2 linked regions of the Astyanax mexicanus genome follow. The protein of the gene in region 1 interacts with the protein of each later gene in a pairwise test. Links are inferred from orthologs where the notes say so. Each region holds a gene or a part of one and is shown on either strand. Other genes may lie near its edges.

What was found.
Region 2: the proteins of myo5b (region 1) and bnip2 interact in binary tests that used the Homo sapiens proteins (3 or more experiments, as listed by UniProt). The two-hybrid records come from large-scale screens. The link is inferred for Astyanax mexicanus from reciprocal best matches to the Homo sapiens genes MYO5B and BNIP2.

The regions. Positions count from the first base shown.
Region 1 is NC_064424.1:6,583,490-6,587,246, reverse strand, and holds the start of myo5b (unconventional myosin-Vb), read left to right. Parts: upstream 1-913; 5' UTR 914-1,118; coding exon 1,119-1,148; intron 1,149-3,757. UniProt on the Homo sapiens protein: May be involved in vesicular trafficking via its association with the CART complex. The CART complex is necessary for efficient transferrin receptor recycling but not for EGFR degradation.
Region 2 is NC_064409.1:57,091,329-57,095,085, forward strand, and holds the start of bnip2 (BCL2/adenovirus E1B 19 kDa protein-interacting protein 2), read left to right. Parts: upstream 1-1,115; 5' UTR 1,116-1,828; coding exon 1,829-2,196; intron 2,197-3,757.

The sequences.
Region 1 (3,757 bases):
CTATTTTTTTATACTTTTTATACTAAAAAGACAGCAACAAGAAGTATATATATTTGTAATGTAAATGGATCACATATATTTAACTTCAATTCTTATTACATTTCTAATATACCTGGTGTATAATAATAGTGATACAGTTGTAATACTCATTATTAAATGTATATATAATATAATATATAATTTTACTGTAAGCATATTTAAAATATGGGGTTACATACATGAATTAGTTTAGATGATTAAATGTTACTTAAATATATTTAAAATTGTTTCATTTTATTACAGTTAAGCACACTTAGCACAATTTAAGCAAGAGTTTTGTACTATTTTTTATACAATTAACGTATAATAAGTGCAAAAAAAAGCTCTCTTTAAATATATTGATTAATAATACTTTTTTTCTCACTAGGGATGTCCTACATAAAGAAAAGGTAATTCTTGCTGAATCAGTGAATCAGTAGGCCTACAGTATGGCACTGTAGCTTACCATAAGTTGTTTGTAAAGACATTTAAGTCAAGATATCTGTTGCTGTGAGACAGATACGCCCCCACAATACAAACTCATCCTCATGAAGTCATACTGAGACAGTGTGTTCGTCTTGAATGTGTCTGTAATGTGTTCTAATTACCCATGTACAGTAAATACCCTGAATAATGAGCCACTGGATTGCAGATTGCAGAGGTTGGTATAATGAATGGGCAGAGAGCTTCTATCCAATAGCCTTCTTGCTTAAATGATTACGACAGGTGTAACACAGCCTTTGTTTGTGCAGGTTTGTCTATTCCATGACAGGTAAAGCACGTTAAAGAGCTAGCTCAACACCTCATACCTGCTGAAGGAGTGGTTTGGGAGTGGAGCGATTTGCCTGATGACATTTCTGTCTTCTCCCATGTTTTGTTGCTCAGGCTGTTACTCAAGTCCTGGTGTGAGTCTGCAGTAGTTACTTCACTCCCTGTCTGAGGTTCACAACCCTCAGCTTTGTGCTTCATGTTAGACGTCTAGAAATGAGTGGAGAAGAAGGAAATATGGTCAGCAGCTTCTCAGGCCTGTGATTCAGATCACTTGTTTTGTGGATACTGATACAGTTTGTGGGTACAGTTTTCGGTTCAAAGAAGAAAGCATGACGACTGTTTCTGATCTTTATGTGAAGGTAGGTCAGTTTATTCTACTTTGCTTGAGTGCTTAAAATGTGATGCATAATAAGCAAACTCAAAATAACTCTATTAGAGTTTTTGGATTTTAACACTTTAAAAGTGTCTATTTTAGGGTTTTTTATCGTATCGATACGTGGCATCAAATACCAATATTTTTTATTGAAACATAGTCGCTCTTAACTCCCTAACACTCGCTCCCAATTCAACTTACTTAAGTTTCTGCTTCATCACTCCACGTGGTGGCGCTATAATTAATAAATAGGGTTAATAAACCTGCGGTGCAAAATATTATTTGTTAAATTCTGTGAAACTGACACCAATAAAACAATAAATACTGGTATTCATAGAGAATTATCATGTGATATCATCGTTATCATGGGCAACATATTGTGATAATATCATATCGTAAGATTCCCTGTGATTCACAGACCTTATTTATATGGTTTATATTTTAACACTTTTAAAAAAGTCTCATAGAGTTAATTCTGACTCTACGTAAGGAGTTAACACTAAAACTAACAGTGATAAATGATCTTAACACTGGTGTGTAGTGTTACAAATGAACTCTTCTGAAGAGTTAGCTTTTAGGACTAAAAAACTATTTTGGATCATTTGGCTATTAATGATGACAGCTAGCTAAATTAACTTTAGTGTTAATAATAACTGCATCAAACAAGGAACTAAAAAGACAATATATCTGTCCTGCAGTGTTAGTTTAATTCACATTACAAGGAAGTTTAGTCACTTGTTAGCTAACTAGCTGATCTTACTTGTACAAAAGCAAACTCCACCAAGTGTTGGGTTAGCTCTGGAAATATTTTGCTATGTAATTTGAGACCTTTAATCCCTTAAACCCTAGGTTTATAGATTAAGTATAGATTATTTGGCAACTGTTGGGCTAAGCATATCATGTGGAGTCCCACATGGTTCTATTTTGGGGCCAATAAAGTTACTTTAATTGTGAGAGTAGAGTAGTTTTCAGAAGGTGAGGAGGAGTGGAGTGTGGGGTTAAATACTGGGTCTTAGGCAGACCTGAGTATGGTACGGCCCACAAGCCACATCTGATTCCTATAGCTTTCAATAACGGCCCTTCACATATCCACCTTAGAAACTGCACTGAACTTCACTGCGCTTGTTAAAACCCAAAAAAGACTAGATTTCTCTTACTGAACAAGCAAAAAATACTGAAAAACAGTAAATGAGCTAATTACACCATAAACCAAACAGCAATAGTGCTTTGTATGAAGTGAATTTAATGCTGTTCTTAATTGGAAACATAATTGTTTATGAGGATGTGGATTAAATTATGATATGTCTCTACCAGTTTTAGCTTATCAAAACCATATAATTACTCCATTTTAAAGGGGTAATTAACTTTAAGCTGAACTGAGATCAGTCGGTCTGGATCTCCAAAACAGATCCAGTTTATTATGTGGCTCCTTGGGAAAATTAATTGCCCACGCCTTTGTCTAAGGGCTTACGAGGTACTAACACATCTCCTCACAGACCAAAAACATGGTTCATTATGGATCTAAAAGAGTTTTCCCTGAACCAGTGCTGCATTTTTAAGAATAATTAAGAATCTTACTGTTCTAATCTCATTTTATCCCATACTTTTAGTAACTTTAGGTCTGAGGCGTGGTGCTGTAGTAACCATACGTGAATTTGTACTTGTGTCTCAAGTGTGACAGAAGGTCACAGCAGAGACTATAAAGAAGGATTAAGGGATTAAGAGCTGGAAAATAGCCTACACTCAAATTTTATTCATGAACTAAATGTGCATGTCATTATGGTGCCCATGACAAGGAGAGAAAAGAGATTTTGACAAGCTTGTGCTACACCCAGTAACTCACACATGCCCTCTGCTCTCTCAGCACTTAACAGCAGATAACAGAGCAAGTGTGCTTTAATGCCTGAACCCTGCAGAGATATACTGAGATACAGCACCAGTCAAAAGTTTGGAAAAAAGCTCTATAGGAACACAAAAAGTGTTAAACAAACCAGAACATGTTTTATACTTTAGATTCTTCTAGATAGCACATTTATCTTTGAGGACAGAGGACAGATCTCAGTGTCTTCATGAGGGAGACTCTCCTGAAGTAGTTTTCTCCTCTTGAAGGAAGGAGTTTCTGGAGGTGCTGAACAATAGTTGCTGTTTTTCCTTCACACTGTGAAGCTCCAGCTCATACCAATTAAATCACCTCAAATCACCATCTCAGTTCATCAGGTTTAGATTAGGGGATTCATGTGGAGGACTAACACTTTTTTACTGTTTACTATGTAACTCCATATGTGTCCCTTGATTGTTTTAATGTCTTTAATATTAATCTATCTTATCTAGAATTAAATAAAGACAGGTGTGTTCAAAATTTTGACTGGTACTGTTCGTTGTTGAATAAAACAAATATGTACAGACATATAATGCAAAATATGTGCAAAATTTATATACCAGACACATGAACAAAGTGTTTCATTTATGGTACATGCAGAATAAACATTTTTGTAGGGTTTTTTGTTGCAGACTTTTGCACCCATTAGCAAGTCCTGTTTTTATCTACTATGGCCAGTGAATGTAACTTGGTATCAAAATTACAGACTATGTACA
Region 2 (3,757 bases), on another chromosome or scaffold:
ACCAACACTGGCTTATTAGAAGTGTTCCTTCCACCTTAAACAGTAAATATATAAATACCAAATATATGTTGGTTTGTTTATTTTGAAGGCTACACTCACCTGTTAAAATGTGTAAGGAGTGGAGTAGTGATATATACACTGAATTTACACATACAGAAATTAAACTTATTTGAATCCAACCCCTTATGAGGAGTTAACAGTAAAAAATGTTAAAAGATTCCAAAAAGATTCAACCTAAATTTGAATCTTTTTGAAAACTGATTCAAACTAGTTTTCTACAGATTCGAATCTTTTTGAAAACTGATTCAAAGTACTTTTCTACAAATTCGAAACTTTTTGAAAAAAAAAACTGATTCAAATCTTTTTGAAAACTGATTCAAACTGTTTTTCTAAAGATTCGAATCAGTTTTCAAAAATGATTCGAATCTTTAGAAAAGTAGTCTTTTCTAAAGATTTCTAAAGATTTTCTGAAGATTCGAAAGTACTTTTCAACAGATTCTAATCTTTTTGAAAACTGATTCAAACTGTTTTTCTACAGATTCAAATCTTTTTGAAAACTGATTCGGACTACTTTTCTAAAGATTCTAATCTTTTTGAAAATCTGATTCAAACTGTTTTTCTACAGATTCAAATCTTTTTGAAAACTGATTCGGACTACTTTTCTAAAGATTCGAATCATTTTTGAAAACTGATTTAAACTACTTTTCTGAAGATTCGAATCTTTCTAAGAACTGATTAAAACGATTTTAAGAAAATTCGAATCGTCAAAATAACGCAAAATAGTATGTGGGTGCTTTTCCATATTTTTAAATATATGCTAGATTCAAAATTTGTCTAATAATAGTAATAGTAACAGTTATTTGAATCACCTGCATAAAATATTTGAATGGTTTTAAGTGGGTAAAGAAACATATCGCTTTTCAATAATTATTTGAATCCATACCAGATCCCTGCAAATGAGTGTTTTATTACTTAAATATCAATACTTAAATATATTAAGAGTGACTTATTAGCAGCAAGTAACAAATCAAATTTAAAAAGTATCATACTTTCCATGTGCTGTAGGACTTTTGTTTTGAAGTGCGGCAGTGGGGAGTTGGTGAAAACACTGCGCTGTATAGTTGAGTTCGCGTTATACCGGAGAGTCCCTGAAACTGCGGAGCTGCTGCGGTGGACGGTCAGGAAATGATGTTCCTGACAGACTTTTAGAGAGGTTTCAGAGTCAGACAGCGGTTAACTGGGTACCATAACTGTGTAGACGGAGAGCGGGTGTGTGAAATGAGGTGTTGTGGGTCTCGGTGAGCGGGGTTTTGAGTGTGTATCGCTGCTCTGTTGCTGTCAGTCAGCGCCGGGCTGGGCTGTGCTGTGGATCGGCGATAGGAAGGAAGGAAGGAGGGGAAGAAGGGAGCCTGCGCACTGCGGGGCCACGGAGCGGACTGGAAGAGACACTTTTCGGGAAGTTTGTTTGGAGAGTTGTTTAGTTCTTGAACTATGCTATTGTTACACAAATTGGTTGCCAAGTAGTTTGTATTTAGCTAACTAAGTTTACACAGTTAAAGTCGGCTGGCTCGATGTTTGGCAGGAGTAGCGTTAGGTTAGGTGGGTGAAGATTTGATTATTTGTACGGTGCGAGTTGTTTCGCTGACTTTGGCTAGCCAGCTAGTTAGCTAGCGTTAGCTACTCTAGCTCCCCTAGCTGTCTGTGTCTGTTGCTGGGCTTCAGTTGTCACACTGGGCACGCACTGCTTGGTGAAGGAGGTTTTTATTATTGTTGTTCAGTAGGTTAGCTAGTTAGTTAATTGCGTTTTTAACCTGACTGTCCACCCCCTATGGCCACAGATGTGACTGAGGGTGAAGGAGGCTTAAAACAAAGTGGTAACCTTACAGCCGCTGTGATTATGAACAAAAGCAGCTCCGAGTCAGACACACCCAGGACACTGGAAACGCTGGAAAACAAGCCGACAGGTCTCCACTCGTCACCGTCTGAACCGGGAAACGGTGCGAGTAAGGCCGCCGTGGTGTCTGTGGAGAACGGGGACAGAGCAGCCCAAAACAGGCCCACAAAAACAGGAGACCCGCTACAGGAAACTGCAGCTCCGCACGATGGAGGAAACCAGGAGAGGACACGGACCCAGCAGCCCTCGAGTCCTGTTAAACTACCACAGGCACAGAGCTCACCCGTGGAGCACAATGGAAGGTAACTTATAGCGCTATTAGCCTCCGGGGTTGAAGTTTAAAAGCTAACCCGACTACCTTTTCAGAGCTGAGGCGAGCAAGTGTCCCGTCAACTACAGATTCGACTTCAGTTTCTGAATCAGTTTTACTGATTTTGCTATTTATAGGTATATGTTTGAGTAAAATGAACATTGTTGTTTTTTTTTCTATAAACTACAAACAACATTTCTCCCAAATTCCAAAAAATAGCCATTTAGAGCATTTTTTTGCAGTAAAAGAGAAATGTTGATTTCTGAACTGTTAAAACTTTATGAATATGAACATATGCTGCATCTTTTTAATTATTTGTGAAAAGGATGCAGCATATATTCATATTCATAAAGATTTAAGAGTTCAGAAATCAATATTTGGTGGAATAACCCTGGGCTTTTAATCACAGTTTTCATGCATCTTGGCATGTCCTCCTCCACCAGTTTTACACACTGCTTTTGGAACTTTATGCCACTTCTGGTGCAAAAAATCAAGCAGTTCATCTTGATTTGATGACTTGTGATCATCCATCTTCCTCTTGATTATATTCCAGAGTGTTTCAATTTGGTAAAATCAAAAGTGGTCTCTTATTTTTTTTTTTTTCAGAGGTAAACAAGATAAAAAGAAACACATTCAGAGAGCATAACTAGATAGGTTAGATATACAAGGGTTTACAATTTGTACTGTTTGCATAAACATAGATTTAAAAACTCATTTTTTACAAGTAAAACTGTTTACATTTTGTATAATGTAACTTTTGCAAATAGAAACTCTAGATTTCAGAAATCTATATGTTTCTACTTATTGCAAACTGTAATTCCAAATATCAAATACCATGTAAATAGGATATGTGAAGTGAGTAATTAGAATAATTTTATTCTATAATTGTAACCTTATTAGATATTTAATAGCTGATATGTGAAATGAGAATTTTCAAGTGAAAATTACACACAAATCTTTAATTTTAGTTTTTACTTTAAAAATTGAGGTAGAACTGCATTCGCTGGTGTCATTTTAGGTTAAGACAGCTTTCAGTGGAAAATAGGAAGTCAGCTATTCAGTGCAACCCCCACTCCCCACCCCCCTAGCTCTCAAAGGGTAAACAACTTGATCCCAGACAAATGTGCAGACATTGACAAGTACACTGTAAAACTGTCAGTTGCTTTGTTGTCTTCTTGAACATATGAAAATTAATGTGTTTAAAGTCTGATGTCCTTCTCTCTAAAGATAGTGCTGTATGCAGACCATTTACTCAAATCTGCACAGTTAAGCTACATGATGCTGTTTTAATACTGTGTATCAAAAGCCGTAGTGTCTCTAAAAAAAACATGATATCAAACTCCCTTTTTCCAAGGGGTCTTGGACTGTTTAATTTTATTGACTGTGCTTACTCAGCACTCTGGGCTCTTGTCGGTTGCGAAGGTTAGTGTGAATGATTACAAACGTCCCCCTTGAAAAGCAAGAGTAACACTACACAGATGGCATAGCAATTAGCTGTGCACGACAGTCAACTAGTGTTTGTGTGGTCCCCCACACTCACATCTGAGTGACTT